2 linked regions of the Schizosaccharomyces pombe genome follow. Changing the gene in region 2 together with the main gene of any one other region gives a genetic interaction. Each region holds a gene or a part of one and is shown on either strand. Other genes may lie near its edges.

Region 1 (15,569 bases), on a different chromosome or scaffold from region 2:
CATCTTGAATATGCATGAAAGATAGCTGTACACCCAGAGAACCGATGGATTACAAAGCATCGAAATTAGCATCATTATCGATGAAATTGCAGGTTACTGGGTTCAAAGAAAAAAGTAGTTTTATCGCGTAAAAAGAACATAGGGCTGGAAAAATTATTCCTTACATGTTTAAAAGTAAGAGTGGGCGATATAAAAACATAAAAAACAAATGTTTGTAAGAGAACGACTGAGGAGTATCCGATTAATATAATCAACTGAATGTGATCATATCTTTCTAAGAAAAAAACAATTTCGCGATCATGGTCATCATCAGCTCAAACACTACCTAGTGTGAGCCAAATTTTTTCTTACCGATATCAAATGGAACGTAACGATACTTGAGCATGTGCTGAATTTGTCGTCGAAAGCAGAAAAAAGAAAGTACAAGATAATAGACAACAAGAATAGGCCAAAACACAGGTACATCAAATATTCGGAAAAAGGACGCGACTAAGGCGAACAAGGTGGCACGCATGCTTGAATACCAAAACTTGAATTCTGGCAATCTACGAATAAAGGGTCGAAATTCATCGTCTTTGGAAGTAGGAAGAACTCCTTCTTCAATTTCTTCATCTTTCATTGCTTGCTCAACACTAGGATCGAATTTTGGAGTCAAGAACGCAAGGAACAGATTGAGCAGGTAAATGGCTAATGTATAGCAAACAATATACCAACCGCGAACCAGTAGAATCCTAATAAAAAATAATGCAATTAATCCACTAACAGTCAGCCATCTATACGTTGTATAAGGTATGGTTCGGTCCACCCAGTGTCGATACAACTAAAAACACGTTAGATTTTCTTCTTTTCTCAAGCTAATCAAGTTATTCTTACTCGAACTGCAAAGTTTTTCTTCTCTTTAACATTTTCTATATGACGCTGAATGAATTCCATGCTTAAATACTGTCAAACAGACGATAAAATGGTGGTTGGTAGTGAAGTGAAATATGTATTCAATTCAGACATATACGCGCTACTGCCAGACTCCATTTACCCCCTACACTAGAATACAGTATACATTATAATGTGTTATCGGTGAATGATATTATTAGTTTAAAGTAATATAACGATAAAGTAATAATTTGTCTCTACAGGACTCGAGAGCGGTAAGCGTGTAAAGAAAAGATTCAGTGATAATTTGGCAGTCAGAATTACTTTTTTTTTGAATAGATTAGTATAGTTACACCACGGTTACGTTTACCAATTTGAAGTTCCTAAATATGATCAACTCATTAACCGATTAGAAATTTAATGCATATACTTACCAATACGTTAAACTGTATACAGCTCACCTTCGACTTCATTAATTTTGCAGAAAAATGGCATGTCGATTTGGGTGTTTATGAAGAATTCATAGTAGTAAACGAGTCGTCAATTTGTTGGAAAAGTCAAGAGTAAAGATAATAATCTGAAGAATTTGTCTGGGTACTCTTTAACATTTACAACATGACACTTCTTCTTTCGATGCAAGCTTTTATAAAAAGGTTCATTAAGCAAATGTAGCGGAAATAACAACTAATGATCATTGAGTATAGCCGGTGCTGGACATCTCTAATAAAGCGATGTCAACTTCTATTTGAAATTAACGGCAAAGCTCTTTTCAAACCAGCCATGAATTTTGCAGTTATCATCAACCCTAACAGCATTATAATTTACACAAATGTAATATAATGCTTGTTTATTTTATTTCGAGGTTCATAAAGTCAGATAACGTATGCTTTTTCAATTCATGACAATCCTGCACAGCAAAATAATGTGACAAATCTACATTGAATAGCTTTAATAAAAGGAAAAAGAAATTAATGAATTCAGTCTATAAAAGTAAACCAGATCGACATTTATACGCAGATTAGATTGAAGACAAAGGCAAGGAAGAAATGTATAGAAAAAGACAAGATTGCAAGCATTGCCAACTTCCTAAACAAAAAAAAATACAAATATCAAACTTAGGATCAAGCGATATAACTTTACCTACCCAAATATCCACAGCTTTTTAGGAGTAATATCGATTATGTTTCACACAGGTAGCATAGATTCAATAATAATTGAAAAAAAGCCAAAGATTAAGTGCAATAAAACAAATATAATAAAAGATTGGTGGTTTCAGCCTTAAGCTTATGAATTAAACACAATTAATATTTGTCTGGGGCCTGCAAAACCACCTATAATATAAGTGTCACAATTAGTTTATATAGCAATGTATATTAGAAAAATTAAAGAAGGAATTAGATGATTATCCACCACCTCTGTAACAGAACACCGCATATAAAATAAACACATTCTTCCATTGAAAACAACCGTAACTAGCACGGTTAAGGAGGCAGACTATGCTTAGATAATATATACACATACATAGAGCATAATTGTATAGGTAATTATGTAAAAGGAGTGGCATCCAGTGGCTTGTGTATAATAAAAATAAAGACAAGATGAGGGGAAATAACCAAATGCATTAATAATGGTAATACTATTATTATTAATGCACATCAATGAACCCTCTCACGATATTCATCCCACAAAACCTGACAACGGTTCTCCACCCAACACCCAGCAAAATGTATAACCAAATGACCTTCTTTCCAGCCCATTTCCGGCTGGCCAACAGGGTAAGAATTAATAAGGGTTTGAGGTAAAATTCCTATTATAGCAGCAATTTCCGGGTGATATCTAACAAAATATCCCAAAAGGGCCTGTTCATGATCCGCAACCTTATTTTCTCTAAAGGATTTATCGCCCCATAAGTCCAAAAACAGAGCCATCATGGGCGACCTTCTAACAAAGAAACTTCCCGCGTTTAAGCCATTCAAATCTTGAGAAATCAATAGCCCTAAAGAACGAGCACTGTCAACAGTATAGGAACTTGGGGTGAGACGTTCGAGATCAGCACTAAATGGAGATATCATAGGTTCATTCTTCATTAACTTTTCCACTAAAACGTCAGGTGACAAAATATGTTCTTGAATAGAGAGTTCTGTGTTCAAAATTAACGCATCTTGGTCCAACCACCAAATCCATTTCGCATGAGGATGCTTATTCATTGTTTGTATAATAGCGGGCATTTTGGCCCACACTGGAGGAATGTTCATTTGGCTTACATTAACATATTCAAAGCCATAGTTGTGATGCTTTGCGTAGTTAATTCGGTTTTCTATGCATTGATTAAATGTTTCAGGTGCCATATTGCCACTTGAACGTCCATCACTCGCTAAGAGGATTACTATTTCATGGGATTTGGGCTCTTGAGGATCATCCTCGTTAATTGTCGCTTGATGATACGTCGTGCTAAGGCCTTGCATATCTTCATCCAGAGGTACTAAGTAGTCGTATTCTTGTACACTTGGTTTGGAAAATACATCTTGTAAACGTTCTAAAGCAGGTGAAGCAGAAAAAGAGTTTCCAAATTGGAAGTAAATGAGAAAAGAGCTAATCCCAATGATTAACAACACGAATATAACACGAGATAACTTCCACTGTAGGACTGCCATTTTAAAGATTAGCAGATGTTAAATGCAAATTAATAAAAAAATAAAAAATAAAATTTAGTCTTTTAGAGACAAGAGAAACTCTTTTTCAAGTTTCACAAATATAAACTGAGATTGGATAAAAGCAAAACAATAAGATACCAAGAATGGATCAGAAATTATGAATGAAATGGGAAACTTTCTACTCTTTCTCGGTAGAAAATTAGAAAGCCGTTTTAAAAATTAAAATGAGATTTGTGATATTCCAAAGAATACTACGTTTGAAACACGAATCTTCGCCCGTTGACTCAAGAAACGAGAGAAAACAGTAAAAAGAAATTGAAAATATAATGTAAATTATAATAAAAAAATATGAATGAATTAGATTCTTTAAAAAATGATTAACCAGATGGACCTGGAATTAAAGGCAGTGTGTAGTGGAAGGATTGAAATTACCGCATCATGGAGTCAATCATCATAAATTTACGGTTTCCTCTACTTATCGTATCCTATTTATAATAAAAGAAGAAAAAGAAGAAAAATCTGTATGGTAATGATTTATGTTCAAAATAATGAGTTGTTCCTTTAAAATCACGTTTCCAAACTTTTAATGACATGATTCACAGTACTTAAACATTTTAACCAGTTTTATACGTTGGGACAAATAACAGGAATGGCTTAATTCAGCAATACGTCTAAATCAATGTCATGATTGAATGGGAAAATAATCAAACGATTCAAATTGTTGAAACAGGTAAAGCAGATCAAGTACTGGAATGCGGACTGAAGTCCAATTCGAGAATGGTTACAACTATGAAATGAGAATTAATTTACTGAAAAGAATACAGTATCAATGGAATAGCTTTCCTGATAATGTGAAAGCTGTTTAAAGAGTATTCTATGTGTCTAGAGTGCAGACTCGTGGATTTTCACAGTAATGAATAAGAAATGTTAAACTAAAAATATCAATTGTTGTTATTATCTTGATTTTTCATATATCTGTTAAACTCCCGCTTTCCGATTTTCTTTTTGGGTCAACTCATAAATGTATATGTGTGAGTAACTGAAATGATCACGAAACAAGCGGAAAGCTGAAAGATAGGGATACTCATTTCAGATCTTTTTGATTCTTCATTTTTTGGAAGTCACCAAGCTCTTTTGGTCAATATTCCTTCGTTCAACTTCGTATTCTTATAAATGGACTAGCGATGAGGCAAAAATCTAGCAATGTTAATTGCTAGAAATGCAATTAAGTTAAAGCAAACTTAAGCTAAGAATTCAGGACTAAGGTCACTCAAAAAGGTTCTTCATAAGATCCTCTATACTTAGTCAAAAAAACAAACTATATGCAACAGGATTGTCACAGCTATTTTTTCAAAAATGAATGATAGATAAATGTCAAAAAAGCTCAATCATCCTATTTACAAAAGTTTTATACATGTCTTTCAGGAACGTATCCGAGCACTAATGCACCACTCCGACATTGAGTATCTTTCGGTTTGCGCTAATCTGATCTAATAATTTAAATGACTTCTAATAGCATAGAATCGTCTTAAAATTAAACTCATTAGCGAGAGATCGCATTTGAGTTTGTAAATAAAAACAGGTTGAGTAAAGGGGGTATCCGTCAAAAGAGGATAAATTTCGTTCTTCTTCTACTTTGAATATTATTTTAGTTTCTTTTTTAAAAGCCATGAATTCAAGTGACTGAAGCATCTATCCTCGATCAAATTTAACATACACAGCTAGTTCACACAATCTTTCCTCACCACCATACCTGCTATATTTTTTCTTTCAACAACCAACTCCATGTCGCGTTTTTCAATAGAAGGGAAGTCTTTGAAATTAGATGCAATTACAACTGAAGACGAGAAGTCTGTATTTGCTGTTCTGTTAGAAGATGATTCTGTAAAGGAAATTGTATTGTCTGGTAACACAATTGGAACCGAAGCTGCTAGATGGTTGTCAGAGAATATTGCCTCAAAAAAAGATTTAGAAATTGCAGAGTTTAGTGATATCTTTACTGGACGTGTCAAAGATGAAATTCCTGAGGCTTTACGTCTGTTGCTACAAGCTTTACTCAAGTGCCCAAAACTACATACTGTAAGATTGAGCGATAATGCCTTTGGCCCTACTGCACAGGAGCCCTTGATTGACTTTCTTTCAAAACACACACCTTTGGAGCATCTTTACCTACACAATAATGGACTCGGTCCTCAAGCTGGCGCAAAAATTGCTCGTGCCTTGCAAGAGCTGGCGGTCAACAAGAAAGCTAAAAATGCACCTCCCTTGCGTTCCATTATTTGTGGAAGAAATCGTTTAGAAAATGGGAGTATGAAAGAATGGGCTAAAACTTTCCAGAGCCACCGTTTGCTACATACAGTGAAAATGGTGCAAAATGGTATCCGTCCCGAAGGTATTGAACACTTATTGCTTGAAGGATTAGCATATTGCCAAGAGCTAAAGGTACTCGATCTTCAAGATAACACATTTACGCACTTGGGCTCTAGCGCTCTCGCTATCGCGTTGAAAAGCTGGCCCAACCTTCGAGAACTAGGCCTCAACGATTGTCTCTTATCTGCTCGCGGTGCTGCCGCAGTTGTAGATGCTTTTTCTAAATTAGAAAATATTGGGCTTCAAACGTTACGCTTACAGTATAACGAGATAGAGCTGGATGCTGTCCGGACCCTAAAAACTGTGATTGATGAGAAAATGCCGGATCTTTTATTCCTTGAATTAAATGGAAACAGATTTTCGGAAGAAGACGATGTTGTTGATGAAATACGTGAAGTCTTTAGCACCCGTGGTCGTGGTGAACTAGATGAGCTTGATGATATGGAGGAACTTACCGACGAGGAGGAGGAGGATGAAGAAGAAGAAGCTGAGTCTCAAAGCCCTGAGCCGGAGACTTCTGAAGAAGAAAAAGAAGACAAAGAACTTGCTGATGAGCTATCAAAAGCTCATATTTAGAGCAACTACTTTCCCTCTCGAACCCTGCTCCGCTGTTTCCGAAATTTTTTAACATATTTCTATTGTTCATGCTAGGCGGTAATGAACGATTGTGGTCAACGGATGGTCTATATCGACCATTCGATTTCCTTCTGCATTTTTATCAACATTCTGTCTTTTTACGCGGCAGGACCGATAAATAGTATTAGATTAAATCTGTATATGACAGAAAAAAAATTCCCCTTTCAAAAATGGCGAAAAGGTTCTTTACGTTTTATTAATAACCCACTTTAATTAAGTATTGGGTCAATATAATATGGTTTGGATTGTATCTGTGTAAAGTTGTTTTGTTGTTATGTCGTAAAGCCTGAACTATTTTTTCAGTATGTCTGTAAACCTCGAGATAAATTTTCTGTAAGTCGCAGTTAACTTTTAAGAATGTGGGGATTCCATTACTTGAGCTTGGTGTTTCCAAATATGATTGTACTACTGCAAGGACGAATTAGAAGCTTCACCTAGCATAGTACATACTCTACGTCCAACGCCATCTATTAATGTCAAATCCACCAACTCGGCCAACTTTGTATAATTTGGTGAATGCTGATGGTGAATTGTCTTACAGAGCTCGTGATTTAGTACAGGATTTTTCTGTTCCAATTCCACATGAACTGCCGGATCCTGTAAGTTCACAGCTTCTGCCAATACTTGTTTAACTAATCTTTTTATGTTTAGGATTTAGTTCATAGCATCCAGGATTTTGCAACAGAATACATGCTTGCGACAGGGAAAAAGTCATTCGAGTGTTTGGATGAAAGTGCTTTATTGGGGTTGGGATATTTGGTGACTGAATGGATGGATGCTATGGTTACTGATTGTTTGGAAGAATTTGAAGAAAGATGAATTATCCTTGTACATTTTACTTTTCATTCGTTTGTTTCGAGATGACTCCGTTACATTTGTATGACTAACTTTGATGATTTTTCTATATGGCGTAAAGTTGTTAAACAGCTATGAATGCGTATTTGTGTATTGAAATTTTTATCTTTTGATAATTGTTTAAAATCAACATTACAGATGTAATTACATTGCTTGACATGTATGCAGGCTGCTGAAAAGCGAGAAGCAACGATGCTGTTAAGATTTTAACAAGCTTTGCGATACATTAGCAAACATATTAGGACTTCAACTATTTTTTTTTTGCAAAGCCTTTACTATTAAATCCGAATACTGTTACCAGTGAATCGTAAAGACAATCACTTCAACTACCCAAAGCATAATCCAATATACATTTTATTACTTGGTATTTATACACGCTATCTAATGATTACACTTCAAAGGGGTCGAATTAAATACGTAGTCCATGCGTATTTATTAAAATGCAAAATTAAGAAATGCCAATTAGGTTGTTTCATATCGATGAATGAAACGAATGACAAGTGACATCTAAGAAGAGATCATACTTTAAAAAGTAGTCCATATTATTTTAAACAGAAGTGAAAAAACGAGTGTTAACTTTTCAAGCAATTTCTTGCTGAGACAATGGTGGGGGTGCTTTAGCTTTCCAAAATGCGGAAATCCATGTCCATATGACAGCAACGAAAATAAAGGCAAACAACAAAAAGAAAGTAATAAATGCAACAATTTCTCTATAAGAGGGTTCCAATACAGGTTGGGTAGGGGGTAGGACTGTAGGAATCGGTATATGAGACGTTGATGTAGGTGTAGCTGTGGCAGATACGGTGTAAGAAGTAAATGAAGTAGACGTAGGGCTCAACAAGGTACTTGAGTTAGTCAGATCGCTATTTGGTTCAGAGTATATTCCCAAGACCATCTCCTTTGGAAGCTCAAGAGTGTCATAAGGGAGTGGTGCAGTATTAGAAGGGTTTTCAGATTCTCCCCACAAAGCCAACTGCCAATTTTCAAACGTACCTTCATGCTTTCCACCACTTCGATCATTAACCAGTAACTTCCAAACCCCCTCTGGAGGTTCGGCCCAATGCTGCACAGTCATGAACGTCCAGTCTAAAAACCCCTTACTATTCTCATCATACGGTCGTTCACTGGCAAGGATTGAACGAATGCCGGAAGGGCTTTCCAAGAGAATCTCCAATGCTCCTCTTCGGTTAAAAGGTATACACACCCTAACAGTGACATGTTCTAATCTTTTGAAGTTGCTTTTCTCAATCATATCCTTAGTAACGGTAAATTCGCTTACCATTTCAGTTATTGTCTCATTGTTAACACTCCCGAATGATTTATTAACATTAATTTCTGGAGCAATGAGCCAGGTTTGTGGATTCACGACCTGCCAATCCTTAGCCACCTCGACGAACTTCGATGCATCCAATTTACCAAACCCAAAATGATGGGAGAACTGGAATCCTGCTGGAGTCTTTTGCCATTCTGCATTTTGAGAAGGGCTATCAAAAGGAGATGCTGAATACACTGTAATATGCTGAATGTCTCTCCAACTAAGGTCAGGACGAATCGAAAGCGCCAAAGCATATACAGCAGATGCTAACGGAGCAGCCGCTGAGGTACCACCATGACTTCTAGTACATGTGCCTTCAGGATTTGTAGTTAATATAGACAAATGTGAGCCACTACTATATGCTGAAACTAATTGCGCAGCACACACCTCACTGTAAAATGGGATTTTATGTTCAGCATCAACAGCACCAATGGTAGCACTGAATATGCTATTCGTGTAGCCATCAAAATTGCAATTATCATGATAATGGCCTCCATTTCCAGAAGCGAACACAAAAATCGACCCAAGACCATTTCGGCCATTAAGGACACCGTTCATCAACGCACGACGAGTAGCCGTATTAGGAGCATCCATTGCTCTTCCATCATCTGCAGGGCCCCAGGAACATGAATATATATGATTTGTTTGAAAGCCATAATTCAGTGCTTCCGATTCAACAGCATCAGTAATAGGGGCCGAAAGAATACGAAGTCCAGCGACCTTGGCGCGTGGAGCTATGCCTACGCCACAAACGTCGTTCCAAGCTGCAGCCACTTCTCCAGCACAACGGGTGCCGTGCTGATCATCTGATAACTTTGGCAAAGGGTCAGCAATGTTATCATTGAAGTCCCAAGAACCAAGCGAAGTGTAAGCAGCTTGCAAATCTGGATGTTTAAAATCAATTCCATCGTCTACAAATGCAACGGTAACATTCTCACCGAAGTAACCGGCGTCCCAGACTTCACGTAGATTCAGATCGTGTCCAGGATTATTCGAGTTGAATATGTGCCATTGGCCATAAAAGAGAGGATCCGAAATTCCAAAATGATTAGAGAACTCATTCAGTAATTCATCAGATTCACTCGCATCCCGCTTGTAGCGCCATCTGGGCGTCTGGCGCTCCAATTCCAAGATTCCGGCATCAATGCCTCGTTTTCGAATTGAACTTTGGACTGAATCATCGCTCCCCTTATGTAGCTTAATTAAATGGTGATACTTCAAATTTAATAAAGGGCGCACATACTTAGCACCAATGGCTTCTGCTGCTACTACAGGATCAACTTCAGGTTCCACTTGAACTAGAAATAAATCATCGTTTTCTAATGGAGAGCAAGAAGAAACCAAAAACTGTAAAAATATTGCAAGAATTGGCCCACATAGCAAAGCAGGATGCATGGTGCTGGGACGGTGTATGCACTAGGTGGCTTAACAGATTATGGTGTCCACTGTACCATAGTGGTGGCTATGTACAATAAAACAGCCATTCGACTAAAACACATATAAAGTGTAAAGCTGTCAGTATTTAAACTTTTCCAATTAAGAAATACATGGCAAAAGTGAGCAATTGCTAAACCGTGTGTCTACTATAATACCATGTTATATATTACATTTCATCAATACAGAAAAATAGAGCATCTACTTGTTAATCATGAAATAACTTTAAGCATTTAATAGTAAAAAAAATATAAACGACGATGAAAACATTAAAAGTATGAAATTTAGAAACCATCTTCATCCTGGTCTTAGTAATATTACAAGTTTTCATGATTAAGTGTAAGATTTGAAAACAAAGGGTTAATTTATAATTAAAACAACTGTAGTCTGGATAAAGAAGGAATATAGTTAAAATGTAAAACCATGTGCCAGGTTGACTATTTAATTAGTTATGTGCATTTATTAGCTAGGCATGAACTTGATCCAAAAAAAAAAAATGAAAGTTGAGAATACGGATGAGATAGTATACTTTCGGAAGAAAATACTTTTATGGAATACTAGTACGAGACACTTGTCAAATTGTAAGCATGTTGACAAAATCAAGCTTTTGGTCTCTCCAATCGTATGTTTCTAGTCTGAGCAGGAATTCGTACACGGATGCCATCCAAATCTTTTCTTAAGAGTACTTGGCATCCCAATCTGCTTGTTTCCTCAAGACCAAATGCTAAATCAAGCATGTCTTCTTCATCTTCTTCCGGGGGATCCAAAAGTTCGTAATGCTCTGGATCTACGATAACATGGCAAGTCGAACATGCAACAGACCCTTCACAAGCGCCTTCTAAATCGATATTGTTAGCATGAGCGAGATCTAAAATACTATCACCTTCATTTCCCTCAATCATGATTTCACGTCCTTCAGGCGTGACGAAAAAAACTTTGATTCCAGTGCCCGGCAAAGGCTTTTTAATTTCGGAATGGAATGATGGGCGGAATGTATGGAATTGGCGTTGTTGAGTCAAAATGGAAGATGAAATGCTACTTTTGGGAGGAGAAGAGATTAATTTTGTCCATGAGCGGATGTTTTTTAAAGCGTATTCTGGATGCAAGCGCTGAGCAAGTGATAAGGCCGCGGTTAATGTAACAAGACTACCGGCTTGATGAAGGGCTGCCAAAGGTACAGGGACAACATAGATTAGAGTCATAATACCCAAAGTAGCTTGAGCAGTTACAACGCCTGTAACAACGTTAATGCTAGTTTTAATCTTCTTAGGCAAAATGTTTCTTTTAGCACGGGAAAAAATAAAAAGACCACATGCAGCAACAAAAGTAGTAATAGCTAAGATACGGTGTTCGAGTTGAACAAGACTTGGGTTGTCAATCATGTTTCTCCATATAAGATCGGACTTGTCGTCTTTCCTACAAAACCTTTGATCAAATAACTCGCTTTTAGATGGAGCAAGTCTTCCTTCGCCCATTTCCGGGAAAGTACAATAAATCATTCCGGCATCCAATCCAGCAACAAAGGCACCGGACAAAAGGGTGATCAGTACCAAGCCAACAAATGAGTTAACACTAGTACGAAATCCTTTCATTTTCTGAACTGAAGAAACCATTGAAGTCAATTGAGATGTGGAGCCACTCTTCATAGATTTCAAAAAGGCATGTCGTTGAAGGATTCCATGCCCAGTCCACACCAAGCCAATATAGAGAGCAACGGCAGCGGCTAAATGAGTAGCCAAGCGATAATGACTAACACGCGGATGAGAACCATCACTGAAGAGCTCTTCTGAAAGACCACTCTTGACCATCCACCAACCGATGACTCCTTGAAGTCCAACGAGTCCCGTAAGGCCGATTAGTCGCTTGCTTAGCCAAGGAGATGCCCTTTTAGTCACAATCATGTATATGGAAGGAAGAAGGATTGTCAAGCCGATTCCTCTACCGAGGACACGATGAAACCACTCCCAGAAAAATATGTTTTTAAACTCATCCACTGTCATATGGCTGTTCAGCTTCTCAAACTCTGGTGATTTTTTGTAAAGCTCAAATTCTTGGTTCCATTGTTCATCAGTAAGAGGAGGAATTACGCCAGTGATGGGCTTCCATTCAGTAATACTTAACCCGGATTCAGTTAGTCTAGTAATGCCACCTACAACAACAATTGCAAGAACAAGAGCAGAAGATCCAAGCAGCCAAAAGGCGACCTTTTTACTCGGAATTTTTTCGGTTTCCTGTAGGATGCCACCTGGTGTAGGAGCGACTGAGTTACTCAGCCGGCGAGCAAAAAACTTTTCAAATGAATTTTTATTAAACTTACAATCATTCAAAAATAAATTCTTAGTCCGTGACAAATTAATTTCATTTAAAACACTCGATCCAGAGAAGCTCCTGCTCATTCTCCAACTTGACCTTCCAAGGCAAGAAATGTCGCAGCCTTTCCGTAAGGGCTGAAGCAGGAACTGTCTCATCAGACCTGATGAACGTGAAATGTTCATTGGTAATTGTTTACTTTTGTTTGCGTTTCGCTTAAAAAAGTAGGTTCATGGAGAGAGAGGAATGGTACCTAACCTCCCGGTTCTATACCACAATAATCTAACGGCGCACTTTCAGAGTCGCTATAAGTAGACAAGCTATATTAACGTAGGCCGTTTGATATATACAAGATCTGAGTGGATCGTCGATGAATAGTTTAATTTGATGCGACAATTCGCTGAAATCTGCACGTAGCATATTTGAATCGATGTTTATATTTATGATACTTAATACTCAAAATGTACTAGCTTCATTTGCGTATCCAAAAAGTTATTTAATCTAGTACATGTCGCATACGGAAATAGCTGACATCTTAAATAGTTAGTTCTTATAATCTTACGAACCGAAACTTCTATATGACAAACATAAATCATTTAACTGCTATAAATTAATATTATTATATTGTACAATGTTCTAAACGTGCAAATTAGGAACAGAAAAATGCAACGACTGAGGGTTCGTTGCTCTGAATCAAAAGAAACTAAAAAAAAAAAAAGGAACTAGAGTTTTCGCCCAAACACTTAGTCATTAAATATTTACAAACGAAGAAGAAAAGAATGCAGAAGCAGGTGACAGTAAAATATGCTCCGAGTACCAATCATCATAATAAAAAAATGAAATGAAAATACATATGAAGGTAAAAAGATGCAGTCATCGTACCAACTTTAGAATCGTGAAAACTTGTTCGTATACCATATCCAATAAAAAAAATCATCCACACATTTATATGGTTTCAAGATTTACAACATCTTCTAGAATTTTTATCGCGTAAATGAAGGGTTAGAAACTGTAGCAGCAGGAACGGTGTGAGGCCTAGCTGTATCGCCATGTGCTTGATTATCCTTCGACTGTTGATGCAGAATGTTTTGTTGACGTCGTTGTCGATACTCAGAAAGAGATAGCTTCTTCGGTGCTGAGGTAGGAAGAGCAGAGGCTGAAGTGTTACTAGGCTTGACTACACTTCCTTGGACCAGATTCGAATTGGGCTTGTTTTCGCTTCTTGAAGTATTTAACGCATTCGAGATATCATCACCGTTGTTGGCTTTGTGGTCCAAAATGTTTGGATTGTTCGTAGGAAATTGGTTGTTTACCAAAGCATGGCGACTCGTTATAACTGGTGCTGGAGCTGTCGGCAAAGGAGGCGTAGTTACAGGAGATTTATCAAACGAAAACCCGACAGGACTAACCGAAGGTGAATGGGATCGAGTGCCATTCTGTCTAGAAAAGTTAACGTCAGAAGACCTTTGAGTGTCGTGAACATGCGATTTATCTTTTACAGTCCTTAACGTATTAAAAAACATGGACCCACTCTTTTCTTTACTCGACGGCTCGAGTTTCAATTTTGAATCTGAATTTCTATGGAAAGAAGGATGGACCTTATGTGGTCTGTCACCTTTAGTCTTAAAGGCTTCCGGCTTCCTTTCGATAGATAGCGATCTTTTATTATAATCAGGTTTGCCATGAAAATCATTTGCAATGCTACGGCGTCTTTTAACTGACGGCAAATGATCAACAGAACCATGCTTTTTGTGGACTGTCGTAATAGTTCCTAATCCTCTTTTGCAAGGAGAAGTTTTGTCCAGCATATCTGGGCTTGTTCGAGGATGTTGTAATGGTGAGGCTGATCGCCTACTTAGTGATTCTCCAACATTAAAAGATGGAGGAGTTGTAGGGGTTATCGAGGATTCTTCAGGTTCCTTTGCTTTTTTCAATGGACCATCGGATTGTAATGCAGCATCGGGTGAAATGGGCGATAAGACGTCTGCAATGCCCACCTTAGAATCAGTGTGTAAATCAGCAATATCAGTTTTCTTGTCCCTATTAGAGGAATCTTCCTCAACAGAGGGTAGTGGAGATTGTAAATCTTTAGTTGGTTTTTTCTCCTTCACAGATGGCTGTAACTTCGGCTCCATGACTACATCGATTCCTACACTTTCTGTGGGTAATGACTTAACAGCAGGCCATTTTTGCAAAATACTAAGACGGTACTTATCTAACCAAAACTCTTTCAAGGATTTGGCATAGACCGATGTGGGGTTTGAAGGTTGCGGTAATGATTCAGCAGGGCTAGGGGTAGAAGGGGTTGAGGAAGGTGTCAGAGACAAACGGTCTTTTGCTACACTGACACGGTTTGCAGTAGAAGCGCGGCGGGCCGCTTTAATATATTTAGTAACTCTGGAAAAAACACAGTTTTTCTTATCCTGTGAGGCACATTCGTTAAACGACAGGAAGGTAGAAAGCACTTCTGAAAGTAATTCCAACTCTTCCATATTGAAGGAGGGTCGCGACATACCAGGCGCAAACTGGCGAAATGGATGGGAAATATCGAGAGTCCAATCCCCAATAATCTCTGTTTCCGGAGCTATGTGAGTAGTTGAATAGAGGATAAATCGAGGAACACTGTTAGACCCATTCATGTAAACACTTGAAACGACGGAGTTTGACTGACAACCTTTACGCGCAAACCTCGCTTTTGAACCAGCAACCCGTGAGTCAACAACAAGCTGAGAATTTGAGTCAAAAAAGACATGTGGCTTAGGAGCCCCCAAAATATTGTACTGGTTTTTGGGATCACTTTTGTATTCATTCTGCGTACAAACCCTTCCTTTCACCTCCATAATGGGTGTATTTGGAGGAATTTCGCAAGTTGACACCAAACCAAAGCGACTACAACAAAACTTTGAAGATGATATAGGTACGACTTGGCATCCATCCATTAAAACTTCGGATTCATCTAAATTCTTTAAATCCAAATTCTTAGAATACTCAAGCGCAGATGCAGAAAAGGTGTTTGATTCCAAAGGGACGTATTCCAAGTGAAACGAATACACATATTCGTTAGAAGCCTCGGTGATTGGAGCCTCTGGTGGGTTGTTAAGGTGGTTGGATCTTCGTCTGCGATT
Region 2 (15,699 bases):
TGAAGACATTCCATCTAACAATTGCTTTCAGACATCATGTTTACTTTTTTTTATCACCCAAACATGAAGCATGCTACTAATGGCTATGCCTTAGTTTAATTCATTTCAAGTTTATTGCTAACGAAAAATATTTTTAAAAAAGTATTGCGGTCAGTTCACAGTAATATTGATAGACACCAAGCAATAAAATTACAACATTCTTTAGCATAAAATAATGCATTCCAAATCTAACTAAAGCAAAGAAAAGTTAAGTTTCAAAGTGATTTTGTTAAGAAGAACCAATACAGAATTACAAAGAGTCAATTAATTTCAATTAATCTTACTTTTAAAATAGCAATTGAAAGGCAAAATACCCATGAGACTTTGCTAATCCATCATTCATAATTATAGCATAAAATTCGTTCAGTATCAGAAAAACAATACCGTACACGTTATGTATCACAAATATTGTAATGTAATTTATCAAAGTTGATAAACCAATTAAGCCAAAAGTGTACACTACCATCGGTAAACGTAGATAGCGTGCCGGTATTTTGCTATGATATCCAAGATCCGATTTGCATAGAATTTATCTTTTGCACATTCTTAATCTAATTAAATTTGAATCATTTGACTTTATGTATCGTCCTACAACAACATCTTACTCTCCTGTGTATACGGGAAATCCCCTCTATGATATTTCTGCTTCGCAAAGCGATCCTCGACAACGAATCCGCAAAAATGTTCGGTTTCAAACAGAAGTAGATGAATTCCCAGACTTTGATGATAGCGACAGCGATGAGTTGCAGTTTGAAAACAGAGATCCTAGAAAGAGAATCGACCCCATAAAGCACATGCTGTTAGTTCAACGCTTAAAGCGTGTGTCTACTTCCTCTCGTCGACTTTTCATCTTTACTCTCTCAATGTTTCTAATCGCTTTCATCTTATTAATTGCTTTTGTTTCCTTCCGGGATTAAATTAACTCTTAACAATGTTTAGAGCAAGAGCTTCATTCGTTTTGTTGGTACTTTGGATCTTCGGTTGTTCCCTATGGTTTTTTTCTTTTATCGCATTCCCAGTGCGCAAGGACTTGTGAAAAATTTTCGCACCTTCAATTGTACATATTTATATCCCTTGTAAATGCGTCTCTTTTTGTTCTCGGTTAGCTTGCTTGTTTTACAAACCTGTTTCCTAACTTGTCTTTTCTACATTTGTTTTCGGTTTTTCTTTAAAAAAAAAAAAAGAGAAGGACTACTTGCTTTTCATCAATTTTTTATATTATATAAAAACATAAAGAAAAACGAAGAAAAATTGCAATTTTTTGATGAAATTGTGCTGTGATCTGTTTCCTTAATTTTTGTTCTCTTTAATCTCAACAATCTATTGAATACTAAGTTTAAGTATGGTTGTTTATTCTTTTAATCCTAGTCATGGTTACTCATTAATATTCGTTTTTCAATTAATTGAAAAGTTACTTATTTAATTGAGAACGTAAAAACATAATCATCAAGCATTTTTCTTCAACATTTACTTAAGTTACCCTTGACATTGTCCTCACTTATTAATATGTATGTCGTCAAAGCATATAGGTCCAAGTGGTTCACCATTTATTTCTAATTTTTTATTTAATTATTTCTTTTGATTGTGACTACTGCGACACAATAAATAAACAATTGTCTAGTCCAACTAGACCCTTAAATACTTTCTGTATCAGTGATCATTGTAGCTGCGTTACTTAATCTTTCGTATATATTTCTAGTATTTCTGACTGTACATATCACTAATTACATTCCTTAATTTTACTAATAACTAATTTGCCTAATAACATGTGTATAGTTTATTATTGCAATAAAATTTATTAATTTGCTCTAGCGCGCATCCTATTATTACAAATTGCAGAATCGTAAACCTTTTCCTAAAGAAATATTACCCAAGAACCACAATCCAACAAAAGAGAGACACTAACCTATTTCCAAGTTCTCTCGAAAAAAAGAAACACAGACTCGTAAAAAAAGATCCATCATTGATTTTTAAAATCATGAGCTCAAAGCCTGTAGAAATTTTCAACATATCAATAGATATATATAAAATATGTATAATATATGTCATTTTGTATGCCCGTCGTATTCGTACATCCATTTCGTCAATGCAAATGTTTCAAATATGCATATTCTATTTAAAAAGTCCCGTGAATAAATCATGCACGCATTGACTTCTGAAACTTTCGCCTCATCTTATTATGCAATAAAACACAACACCGCATACTAAATTTTGCCGGATCGTTTTTACATAACGCTTCCACAACCGCAACGATTAAAAAGCACACCCAATGAGCATCCGTCCAAGCCCAGCTTAAAAATGAAAAAAACCGGACCTAAACAAAAGACGTTTCGTGCAACTCACTCAATCACAGTTAATTAAAGCCAAATATTTCGCCCTTTCTGACATCCTCGCGCTTTGCAAATGTCAGCAAAACAATGGACACAATACTTCGGCCTCTGACTAAAGGAAATCATCAGAAGCCTGTGCATAACACAGATGCACGTAACCCAATAAAAATATTTTTTTAGGAAATTTACCACCAGGATTGAGCACTACCACTGTTGTAAGTGTTACCATGATGAGGAGTACGGCTTTCAAAGCCACCGTATCCAGAGTAGCTAGGGCCAGAGCTATAACCACTACTACTATTAGTAGGGCGACGGAAGTCGCGAGCACCATAAGCATTGCCTCCACGACCACCACGACCACTGTAACGGCCACCACGTCCATTACCACCAAAGCTGCTTTCACGAGCCATGGCGATCAAAAAGCTGGGGCACTCTTGATTGGCCTCTTGCAACAACTCAATCAATTCCTTAGCGATACCCTTGTTGTTACGGTTGAAAAACGCAACAGCTTGACCAGTGTTACCAGCACGACCGGTACGACCAATTCTATGCACATAGTCATCAATGTCAGTAGGTAAATCGTAGTTAATAACATGCGTGACATTGGGAATATCTAAACCACGACTGGCGACGGCAGTAGCGACCATAATGGAAGTACGGCCAGAGCGGAACAATTCCAAAGCGCGCTCACGCTCACGTTGGGTACGGTCACCGTGAATGCTTGTTGCGGGGAAGTTGCTATTCAACAAATAGTCGGTAAGTGTGTCAGCCATGCGTTTAGTCTCTACAAAGATCAAGGTAAGACCCTCAGGAGGTAAGGTGTGAAGAATATCAAGCAAGTAACTACGCTTTTCAGAATCTTCAACGTGTACGACCTTTTGAGTAATATTCTCCGAAGTGGAACCGACACGACCAACACTCAAGAAGACATAATCCTTTAAAAAGTCACGAGCTAAAAGTTGGATATCACGGGGGAAAGTGGCAGAAAACATGAGAGTTTGACGTTCTTCAACGCTTGTCATGTCAGCACCTTCCACAATGTGACGAATTTGAGGCTCGAAACCCATATCCAGCATACGATCAGCTTCATCCAACACCAAAAACTTAATGTTGGCCAAAGAAATACGACCACGATCGATTAAATCAACCAAACGACCAGGAGTAGCAGAAAGCAAGTCGCAACCTTGGTCAATTTGGCGGATTTGAGCACGAATATCGGCACCACCGTAAACAGCACAGGGACGCACCCAAGAACGGTAACAGAATTTACGAGATTCCTCATGAATTTGACAAACTAATTCACGAGTGGGAGCCAAAATAAGGGTGGTAGGATAGGCTTTGCGAGGACGATAACCCATACCGGCATCCTGATCAACAGGAACAGCGGCAGGTCCTTTATCGAAAGCAAGAGAAAGAATAGGGAATAAGAAACCAGCAGTCTTACCGGAACCGGTTTGGGCACAGGCCATCAAATCACGTCCGGATGTGACAATAGGAATGGAGTTCTTTTGAACTGGGGTGGGCTGAGTGTAGCCAGAGAGTTTAATGTTTTGAAGAAGATGAGAGTTCAAAGGAGGAGAAGTGAACTCATTAACAGGCTCGATATCTCCACCGGAAACTTCAACAGGGATGTCATCATACTTTTCGAAGTTAATACCAGTTGAAACTTTGGTACCATCAGCAACGGCACCAAATAATTGACGCTCCAAAAGAGTGTTACGGGCTCCGATAACGTGTTGACCATCTCTCCATTGGCCAAATCCACGGTTGTTACGATAACCACCGCCGTTGCTGTAACCACCTTCACGACCGCCACGGTAATTATTTTGGCGGCCCTCGCCACCACCATAATGACCGCCACGATTGTATTCACGGCGACCTCCATAGTTAGAGGAAAACTCACTAGGAGTTTGAGACCTAGAAGAGCCACGAGATGAGACAGACTCATCGTCGCCAACAGCTGGAGCTGCGCCAGCGCTTGGCTTATCCCTAGCAAAAGGAGGAATATACTTCCTAGGTCTGCTGATGTTTGTTTTTTGCAATTTTTCAGTCACAGAACCAACTGAATCTACTTGTTGCTGTACATTGTCGCTCATAATATTTTTTGTATTTCTGAGTTGAAGTGTTTGGTTGAGGTTAGGTTAAGTTGGCCATTAAATGCTACCAAATACACGATGGGACTGCCCTTTTTAACCCCTCAGCAAATTAGATATGTCAACGAAAACAATTTTTAACAAGGATAAAAAGTCATTTAAACAATTTAAAATTATTTTTTAGTTAATTTTGATACCAATATGTATGGGTATTAATAGTTTTTTTGAAACCTTAAGTCAGTACACGTGCTATCATCTGACTACGTTAAAGAATAAAAATTAATTGAAAGGTTTTACTATATAAATATATTTATAATCTATATAACTAAACATTTAGGCACCGTAATGTAGGTACACGATTGCCACTCACCAAAACTAAAAACCACCGTTATGCTCGTCTCTAAATAGCAGACTTAGTATACATATTAATCATTTTAATTGGAATAAGAAAATTCAACTTTCAAATTTACAATTATTAGCATACAGTTTGCTTTCTGTTTAAGGTCGTAGTGATATTCAGGAGTACCAGCCATGGTTTTGCTGTCTTCCCATACCAACCAATACTACAAAATATAGAAATTGATATTTTTATTGTGCCTTGCAACTTAAGAAATTGCTAAAACCTTTAGGCAGAAGCTTTGTAAGCGGTGCTGTGCATTAAAACCGTATTTATTCGACAAATCCGAACATATTTATCTATATTGAAGAAGTCCAAAGAAAATCACATTTGTTAAGATTATTAGATACGACATAATTAAAAGCGTTTTTCAAAATGATTGTCCTTAATGCTCTGTCGTACTTGGGTATCGTTTTGGGATTCATAGGCATGACCGTGAGTATCGCATCAGCTTTGTATTACATTTCAGAGTTTGTAGAAGAGCACTCTAGGCTCGCAAAGGCGTTTTTATGTCGGTTGGTTTATTTTATTATGGCGGTAATGGTGTTTTTGGTTATATTTGATGGTTTTCCTTTTTGGCTCTCGGCATTCTCCATTTTCAGTCATTACATTTATAAAATCAACTTTGATACCTTTCCTTTCTTCTCATTTAAGAGAATGAGATTTTTGCTAGCATGTTTCCTTATTGTCGCGAATCATATCTTATGGGTCCGCTTTTTCCAGGTGCATGAATTCCCTATTAAACCTCGTGGACTCACTTACGATTTTGTTGGTCAACGCCTTTTGACCTCTCGTGCTTCCTTTTCACAAGTTGCTTCATTTATGGGGGTATGCGTATGGTCTGTTCCTATTGGTATTTTTGTTTCCTTTACCGCTGCTGACAATACACTTCCTACCATTACAACCCCGTCTTCCTCGTCCCCTGATGCTTATTCTTCTGGATCATCTCGTCGGACGTCGAATGTACTTCGACAAGCTTATAAAAAGTTAGGTATCTTCGTCGAACGTAGTCTTACCTCTTTGGGGTTGAGTGATCGTTCAAGTGAACGTTACGTCTGAGTTGAGTTTGAGGGATGCTTGTCTTTTTAAATTAAGGATTCGTTTAACTTTACTGTAATGTCTGTACTTCTTATGTGATCATTTACTCACAACATGTTGCATCTCTTTTTTTTTTCGACTTTTATTTTGTATATAGTTTTCTTCATACTTTCTTCATCAACACTTTAACTTTTTCTCGGTCAGTTTGAGCGAACAAAATTATCCTTCTTTTACGTTTTGTCGTTGTTCTTTAGGATTGCCTATTGTTATTTTTTTCAACATGGAAATTGTATTGTCAATTTGACTTAAATTTCATCTCGGACGTGTAGAAAATGCATTTAAAGGAAATAGATGACGCCTTTTCATATTCATATGAAACGGAGTTTTTTACGTCTTGTTCATAACGATTTTATCAATAAAAATTAACATGATAGAAAGCTAAATATATCCAAGTAAACCCTAGCCACTTGTAAAATTGATAAAATACACATTTAATTAATCAGTATCGACTATATAATACCGAGTCCTAAAAATACAGCAGACATCATCATAATGACCATAGCACTTAACGGAGAAAACGAATTTCCAGCATTTGCAACCGCATTCTGAGAAATCAAAGAGATGTTGAAGGACGGAATAGCTGAAGAGGGCATACTACTACTACTTGTATAGGAATAAACGACGCTTTCCGAAATATTCACAGCAGACAACGATGTGGATGTGAAGTGACTAGTCTGAACCAATTGAGTAGATGCCACACTCGTAGGATATTGCGAACAAGTTAGAGCACCAGGAATGTGTTGATCCACGATGGCGGACAAGTTGGATGTTGCGTTATAAAAGGCTTGCCCAATGGCAATCATTTTTTGACTTTGATGATAAAATGTGTAGGCGTTTCGAAAAAATAACAAACCTAATACAATCTCACTATCCGTCGAAGGTCGAATACCTAAAAGACATATGTTTGAAACTTGCCCAATCACTAGCAACGATATCGGTACCTTGATAGTTGAATTACATCCAAATTGAAATATCAGAGCGGCTTCCAAATCAATTTCATCACAGTTTAATGCGAAATAGCCTTCGGATAAGTAGGCACCAGCATTATCCATCACACTGTAAGCCAATTCGGCAGGCAAATAAATATAAGTTTCACGAGTTTGAAAGTATGCATCAGTGATGATAGAATAATTAGAAAAGAACGTAGAGTTTAAGAACTGCACAGAGTAAATGGAAACGGCGTAATGCGTAAGCTTAGTCTGCTTCAAAGCGACAAACTGTCCCTGGTACTTTGACGTATCCACGGCTCCCAAAAGTAAACTTCCATTACCCTGATTATCCAGATACATACTAAAAGCAGGGTATGCCAATATATCCTCTTTAACTAGTTGTTCCAAAAAGGTTGGTGGTGAAAAACTTGAAATGGAATCCGAATAATCTATTGAATTAATTTCGGTACTGGCAGCTAAACCTAGCACGCCTTTGTACGGCAGCATTGAACTGGGAACATACTCCTTTAATGTGATGCCGAATTGGAAGTCCGGTAAAGCTTGATAATGACTGTAAGAAAGGGAGTCCTGAACATTAATTCCAGCAACTGTAATGTTATCGTCATAGCGGATAAAAAAAGTGCTTGGACTCGTAACAAAATGGAAGCTAGAAGATGCATTCCCAAAATAACAAGAATCACTTTCTTTTTTACAAAGAAAGTATCGCAGTTCATCCGTACTCCACTGAGTACCACTATTCACTATGCCAAGATACGCTGGATTAAACGCCATTACATTGTAGTAAGTCAACCATGTGTACGGCATGTCCAAATCTATAGCTACAGTGTACGAAATACTCGGACGACCGATCGAAAGGGTAGTAGTGTAGTAAGTGTAACTCTGCAAATCTAAAGGAAATGAAGTGATACCAGATGGAGAATAAGTATAGTCACGCTTCTCTAATTGATTTTCCTGGTTGGGAAAAGTTTTCGCAACGAAGTCCAAAGCTAAAACACCATTTCCCGTATATTGTAACGAAGAGACAAGTTTAATGAAGGAGAAAAATATTAAAATCCAAATCCTCATAATCCTTAAATAATTAGAAGAAAATATAGATGCAAGAATGTTTACATAGAGGTAAATTAAAATGACCAAGGTGATTATCAGATAAAAAGAGAAATAAAGAATAAGAATAAAGTAATATGAGAAGAAGAAATAAGAATATGCAAAACGGAACTAAAACAAAAATGCAAAGTAGAATAAAGAGCAGGTGCCGAGTTCTTTTGATGAAAGAATGTTTTAACGAAAGCAACGATGAATTGTTATTATCCCTTGTTATGTTGGGAGCAACAATTTGGCAATCTTGCTTTATAAAGAAAAGAAAATCCACAACAGAAAGTGGAAATAATCCTCAAGGGATGAGCAATAGATGCATGTAAAAACCAAATGCAACGCAAAAATCTAGAAAAACTTGATCATAAATAAGAGTCTTTCACAATTCCTAGCACGTCGTAAAATAATAAATACAAATTGAAAATAAGGGAGAAATAGATCACTTAACGATAGTTTTTTTAGAATGATATGATAGTAGGTTTGGCATGTAGCTCAACTGAATGTATTTTTGAATAATTTAAGTTGAAAGGGAAACGTTTTTAAAGCTTTGAAATATGCCGATAACCTTTATGGTAACGTCTCAACTTTTAAATAGAACAAGCGATTTCTCCGAGCAACAAAAAGACGAAAATAAAAGACAGTCTTATTGCTGTACTTGTAGTTCAAAACTGTGTCCTAGTAGAGTGCTATTTCCTTGTTTTTCTACTTCACCTAATATGGTGGTTGATTGCGGGCTCAAATCCCTTGGGGGGCCTCAACACCATCAGACTAACTTCGTTCACATTAGGTCTGAAAGTATACAGGATCCTTGAGTTCTTTATATCATCATACAATAAATATAAAAGCAAAACTGTGTCTTTTCTAGAATACGATTTGTATGCTTTTTCCAGCGTAATTCCGCTTAAATTGGGATTATGAAACAGGTACGTTTTTACGAGTCTTACGGGCCTTAAAGTGATAATTTTATTGTACTTCGATAACTAATTAATATTTTTAATTAAAAAGAAGGAGACCAAAACCAGTCAAATTGCTTTAGTCGATGGTGAAAAATTATCGATAACAGATTCTTTTGCCTCCCTTTTTACTCTAGACGAAGAAGAAGAAAACGACTCTGTAGACAATGAAGAGATTAAGTTAACAAAAGAGAAACATGAAAAGTTACTTCTTTTATTTTGGTTGCATTGCAAGTTTCCTAATGGATTAGAATGGCTTCATTCATCAAGTGATCTTTTACCAGAGCAAGTTTCTGAGTGGTTTAACTTTTATCAAAAGTATCGTTTTAAAAGGTATGTCTCATTGAGTAACTTTTTGTATTTTCCTCAAATGTACAACTAACATGCAAGGGGGCGAAATTTTAATCTTTCAGCTAGAGAATCTGTAACTCCTATCGTTGAAGAACCGATAGTTCCCGAAGAACCCGATAATTTGGAAGGAGTTTCAGAGGAGACACCTTTAAAAGAAACTTCCCTAGAACTTAGCGAGGAGGAAATTATAACGTCAAAATCTCCCATACCTTCACCTGAAACTATACATAAAAATATTGACGTAGAAGAGAAAGAAACTATTGAACCAACAACACCCGTAAAAGAAGTGGAAACCACTGCTCATGCTGAAGAGGAAAAAGGCCCTTTGACGCCAGATAGCGAGTATGCTGCTCGACAGCTTACCGAAGAACTTGCAAACAAATCCTCTCAAGAAGAAGGAGTCGATAAGCAATTAAGAGTGGTTGAAGCTACCGAAAAGGAACATGAGGAAGATGGGAATGAAGAAAATGTGACCGTTACCAAACCGGTAGAGGTTGCGACTGATCAAGTTGAGTCTAAAGAAGTGAAAAAGAAAGAGGTATCAGAGACAACGGAACCTACGGCTCCCCCTGTCACTGTTGCAGAAGTTTTGGAAATTGAAGATAAAGTCCCAAAGGTTGATGAAGTTGAAGAAGTTCATTCTCCTGAAGCCAAGGTCACTGAAAATGATGTTGAGAATGTACAATCAGGTATTGATATTGAAAAAACTATACAATTATTAAATAATCAAGAGATTCCTTCGGAACAACAAATCATTTCCGTTGACAAGGCCACTGAATCTCCTGTTCAGGAAGTAGCGGTTGATGTCAACGAGAAGCCAGTAGATGAAATTGTTGAGCCTAGTAAATTACAAATGGAAAATAAGTTACCATCGGAAAAATCCCCTACAATTGACAGAACTGGGGTTGAAGCTCCGCTTTTTGAACTTTCTGTATCTATGCCACTAACTTTAATTCCTCCTTCAAAATTTTCTGAACCGGTGAAACCAGAGCTTTCCTCAGAAGCATGGCTGCTTCGAACAGAAATGTCGCCTTTACATTTAAGGTTGAAAAATGCACATAAATATGTTCTATCAGATAACTGGTCTCATGCGTATCGCGAGGAAATTGTACGACAATCACTACATCATTTAACGGTTGCAAAAGAAAAAGGTATTTGGTCCTTTAGACAGCCCAAAAGACAAAACGAGATGCCACGATTGAAAACTCATCGGGATTATGTTTTGGATGAGATGCAATGGATGTCAATTGATTTTTCTCAAGAGCGTAAATGGAAAATTATATTGGCTCATAGAATGGCGAATTGGGTAATGGATTACCATCAAGCTAGTGATAAATGTACTGTTTGTACTCCGGCTTCGTTGTCAAAGAATAAGAAGCCGTACATGCAAGAGAATGAACATCAGAAAGACTCTCACGAGGAAACGTTTAATGAACAAATAGTGAGCCATTTTAATCTAAATGATAATAATAACAACAAAGTGCTCTCTATTCCCAGGGATTCTTTACAGTTTTATAATGCTGTTTTTTCGGATGATATATTTGTGACAACAAACTCCGAACAAATTCAGAACTGCGTTTTAAACGTTCCTATGTACGGTCCTCCTACTGAAAACAATGAATATTGTGAAGAAATATCTGAAAAGTACCCGATCACTCCTGTGTCACGTTTTGCATATGCCAAAACAAAGCTTAAATCCACCTGTGCAAAGGCTTCTAGGAAACGTTTGTTCAACCAATTGGAATTATCACCACCTGAGTCGTTTATGGAAAAGAAGGCGAGAAGCGATGAGAACCAGCTAGATGGAAATAAAATTAAGGATGATAATCAGAAGCTATCCTCAGTAGGAACCTTTAGTGTGCGGCCTCCGTATCCGCCTTCTAGTAAAGATATTCGTCCAGAAGCCCCTTGGTTGCCCGAAGAAGATGAACTCCTTTTATTACTCTTGCGACGATATTCCTTTAATTGGGAATTTGTTGCCAGTAGGTTAACACCACCAGGTTTGTACATACCGCTTGCCGAGAAGCGGACTGCGTGGGATTGTTTTGAAAGATGGATTCAAGTGGATCCCAGAGCCGCCAATGTCCAATTGACTGGCTCCCATGCAAGACTCGCTCAGCAGAAATTAGATGAATCCTTAAGACATTCGGATAAAGTTAGCCAACATCTATCCTTACGGGATGAAGGAACACCTAACCATTTGATTAAACATAATTCTTACTTCTTATTGCCAACTGTATCAAGACATTACCGACCCATTACTATATTTGAAGCTATACGAAAGATCCTTAAAAAGAGAGAGTTTGCTAAAAAACCCACTATGACCAAGAGAGCGATTGCACCATCTGCAGCTTCAACTGAAAAATTGCCGCCGGTTCCTTCCCCTCTCGAACTTTCTCGTTTGAAATCTGAGCGTGAGGCACAAATACAGCAAATACAGGCTCAGAGAAACTTTGCACAATTGCAATCACAAAACAGGGCTCTACGGCCGCAAAACGCCGCTGTTGCTGCTGGTGCACAACAACACAACCAGCAACTAGCAGCCTTTCAAGCTGTAGCTGCTTCACAAAATAGTAGTAACAATTCATCAGCGGGTGTCTCGCCTATAGCTGGTAGAATGGTCCCCAGGCTTCAGCCATACGCTGTTTCCAGTTCTTTAAAACTAACACCTGAACAAATTCATCAGTTGCAGCAAAGGAAGCAAACTGTACCTACTACTGAAAGGACACAGTAAGTATCGCCTCAATGCAATTTTTCGATTTATTGTATTTTTTTTGAGTGCTGTTGTATATTAGAAGGAAATTACGAGGCGAGAGCTTTTTCTCTCACACAATAAAAATAGAATACGTTTTCATTTTCGTATCCCGGTTGTTGGTTTTTTAACAGAATCAAGCAAATCGAGGTAATACGAAGTGTACATGATAAGTGAAGTTTGATTTCATAAACGTTATTTTAGCTAATGAATATGTTTTAATTTTTGAAAGACAGACACCATTCTCGGTAGACAAAAACTCCATGTGATGGGCCTTGTAGAAGCGGGCGACAGTGTCATATAACCTCGTCGTGGGACTTTGTTTAGCTTCTTAGCAGTCTTTGCATTCGTCCGAGTGTTCTGTCCATTAACGGGTAACCTGAAATATTCATTAGTTAAGTTGAAAAAGTTGTCGAAGACAGCTACGTTCACAAATGATCTTTTCATACCCGTTTACATGTCTCATTCCCCGATAGCATCGGATATTCACCAATCTTGAGATATCAGCATTCCGTTGACGCCGTAAGTCACCTTCAATAGTCATTCCTGATAGCAGTTGCGACAACGTTGTCAATTGAACATTTGTCAGCTCTCGAACCCTTAACGTATTGTGAAATGATAATTTTGCGCATATTTCTTCAGCCTTGGCATGTCCAATTCCATAAAAAGAAAGTAGAGCAAACCGCACAGGTTTATCGTCGTTTACAGCCACTCCAAGTATGTATACCATGATGCAAAATCTCAGATATCAACAGATGAGACAGAAACCAGCTCAATAATGAAGTGGACAATTTGGTTTTGTAATTCAGTTCTCTATCAGTAATCAGAGAGCTTAAAACCGTTCTGAATATAAGTATTAGGCTTTCTTGTAAAAGAGTGGAGTGGTGGTGTTTAGATATAATACACAGTTGGATCTCTCATATTTTTAGAAAACTAGTTAGATTGTACAGACTCCGGGCCTAGTAATAAAAGACAATTTGAGTAATCATTAAAGAGCTACTATCTAAGGTGTAATTTGATGTTTAAGAAGACCATAAATAGGGCAAGGTAAGACGAAGAAAAACAAATAAAGAAGAGATATCGTCAAAGGCCTTCCTTTTCTGTTCAAATTTTAAAATTTATGAACTCAAATGATCCCTTCGTTCAATGGTCTCAGTTTAAAATTTATTATTGAAAAATATATTCACGACATTACTGTCTCTTACAAAGTTGAATGTTCAACAGTACATGCGGAAGTACAGTAAAAAGTTTTGGAATAAAATTTTATATATTCTAACAATGCTTTGCGGATCTCAACTGTCATATATATTTCAAGTGCAGCTCCTTTACATTGCTATGCTTGTGCAGGTCCTAGGCATTTTAAATGAGCAGTAGCTTTCCGCATTTCAATTGAAACTTCAGTGCTTTCTTCTTATATGGGATATGACTAATTTTATCGCTTAACACAATTGGTAGTGTTCATTTTTATTATTACTTAAGCAATCCGCAAATCATGTGGTTTAATAGTCAGTTTTTAAATTGATGTTTTATTTAACTTTAAAAAACAAAGCAACTGAAAGAAGTATAGTACTGTAGATTTCAGTAATATTGTAACTACTATACGTTTTTTCTTTTTTTTTTTTTTTTTTTTTTTTTTTTTTTACAATATGAAGACTAAGATGAAAATTAAAAATATTATTGCGAATAGGAATACAGATCGTATGGTAAAATAATAGATCGAAAATAGCAATTAATTTAAAAAATTGCTTCACATGGCTTTGTAAAGATGTGTGGGCTAACATACTAGAAAATAAAAAAAATATGAAGATAAAATGAGTTTAGCTCTCAAATTTGGCAGTAATATTGACATCTGTAATAGTGGAATTCTCTGGGACAGTCATGATATAAAACTGAAGAAAGCGATAGTATTCTTCATCCTCTTCCTCATTCTCTTCATCTTCTTCAGTGCGCTTTTTCAAGTTGGGTCTGTCAGGATTAACAAAAGTGTTCCAACTTTGGTAAGCACGAAGGAAATCAGCATAAGTTTTTGCGGGAGCAGCTTCGAATTCGCGCTTTTTCAAGTTGGGTCTGTCAGGATTAACAAAAGTGTTCCAACTATGGTAAGCACGAAGGAAATCAGCATAACTCTTCTCTGGGGCAGCTTCAAACTCACGCTTTTTCAAATTGGGTCTGTCAGGATTAACAAAAGTGTTCCAACTTTGATAAGCACGAAGGAAATCAGCATAAGTTTTTGCGGGAGCAGCTTCGAATTCGCGCTTTTTCAAGTTGGGTCTATCAGGATTAGCAAAAGTGTTCCAACTTTGGTAAACACGAAGGAAATCAGCATATGACTTGCTAACTGAAACCACACCAGGATCGGCAACTGGAATAGGTGAGGCAGCAGCAAGTGAGAATAAAAGGGCAATGACAGCGGTGATCTTCATAATGTATGTGAAAAAAATAAAATTTCGTTGATAAGTTAGAAAAAGAAAGATAGTTTAAGCGATGAACTAGCAAATAAAAGAAGAAAATTATAATTTGTTGACTGATTCAAAAAAAGGGAGAGTTTAAAAAGGCAAAATTCCAAAAGAAAAAGGATTAAAAGATTAGAATAAGAAAGATCGAAGCAAATTTACAGAAAATTAGCTAACGGAGCAGGTTTGTTGACAAGAGGGATGTAAATTCACACCCAACGCGAGTTCTTGTAGAGTGAAGAATAAGAAATAGAAAGAGTGAATATGTAAAATAGAAGACTTGAACGAATTCTGGTTTTCTTCTGGGACAGAATGCCTGTATTTATACATCTTTGTAGTGCTCCGTTTCCCTCAATTCAAATCTGGAATTCTATGCTTTCAAACTGTTCATTGTTGACATTAACCGCCATTTTTTAATGACTTCCCCGTTTTCGTTTTATCGCTGTTTATCCTGATTGGTTGAAGATATTCGCTTATTTTTTTGTCGTCCACCCAAAATGAACTTCTATGTACAGCGACCAATCAAAAGACTTATTAATTTTAAGCGACTTTTTTCTGGTAGCGGCTATTTTTTTTATTGGTTAAAGGTTTTTTGATAATGTAAACAATAAAACTCTATCCATTGTTCTTTGTGTGTACTCAACCAATAGCATACCGCCATAGAATGAAAAAATGAACTTCAGATTGAAGGCATAGAACGCCTCTGGCTACTTGTAGCAGATATAGATACTGCAAAGCAACTAAAATAGAGCTTCAAAGGAGATGGAGCACGCAAAAAAGAGGAGAATAAACAAATACCCGTTCCCCTCCGACTAGTGGGCCAGTATTTGGTGTACTAGATATTGTGCACGGAGAAAGTACAAAGGATTGCCGTTGCTAGCATTTAATTTCCAAGGAAAGGATAGTAATATGATAGTAGGAAATTGTTTGATACCATTAGTGCTTTTTTTCCCTCGAACATGAGAATCAGGGCTTGCTAAAACCATAGTAGTGCTAGTTCCGAGAATCCCACCTTTTCATTATACCTTCAAAAAATAAGAGTACATTTCGAAAAGGTTTTAGTAAAAGGATTGGTGAAAATAACGAATAAACTGCTGCTTCTTTACAGCTTTTTTAATTCTTTTCGGCGTTAACATGCTTCCTTTCGTTCTAAAGTCATATAACCATATCATTATACTAATAAACTGTTTA

Evidence for each region.
Region 1: of yps1 (region 2) and krp1, extra expression of one rescues a mutant of the other (dosage rescue), as found in Schizosaccharomyces pombe (one study listed by BioGRID).

What each region holds. Positions count from the first base shown.
Region 1 is NC_003424.3:5,026,475-5,042,043, forward strand, and holds krp1 (kexin), read right to left. Parts: upstream 10,107-15,569; 5' UTR 10,096-10,106; coding exon 7,966-10,095; 3' UTR 7,713-7,965; downstream 1-7,712. Other genes in the region: Rer1 family protein, read right to left, coding at 326-820, 874-933; alpha-1,2-galactosyltransferase Gmh3, read right to left, coding at 2,526-3,524; RanGAP Rna1, read left to right, coding at 5,310-6,470; RNA polymerase I upstream activation factor complex subunit Rrn10, read left to right, coding at 7,004-7,129, 7,182-7,349; etp1 (monooxygenase-ferredoxin fusion protein), read right to left, coding at 10,734-10,972, 11,018-12,629; putative histone H3 lysine methyltransferase Set3, read right to left, coding at 13,428-15,569. UniProt on the Schizosaccharomyces pombe protein: Membrane-bound, subtilisin-like serine protease that processes the P-factor precursor and other precursor proteins. Essential for cell viability. Cleaves substrate on the C-terminal side of dibasic residues.
Region 2 is NC_003421.2:972,207-987,905, forward strand, and holds yps1 (yapsin Yps1), read right to left. Parts: upstream 8,729-15,699; 5' UTR 7,973-8,728; coding exon 6,407-7,972; 3' UTR 6,021-6,406; downstream 1-6,020. Other genes in the region: SPOM_SPCC1795.12C (uncharacterized protein), read left to right, coding at 618-956; translation initiation RNA helicase Sum3, read right to left, coding at 2,555-4,465; protein SVP26, read left to right, coding at 5,235-5,918; vid21 (NuA4 histone acetyltransferase complex scaffold subunit Vid21/Eaf1), read left to right, coding at 8,914-8,922, 9,005-9,285, 9,343-12,037; sws2 (mitochondrial 37S ribosomal protein uS13m), read right to left, coding at 12,260-12,434, 12,505-12,785; P-factor pheromone Map2, read right to left, coding at 13,873-14,478. UniProt on the Schizosaccharomyces pombe protein: Cleaves at paired basic residues.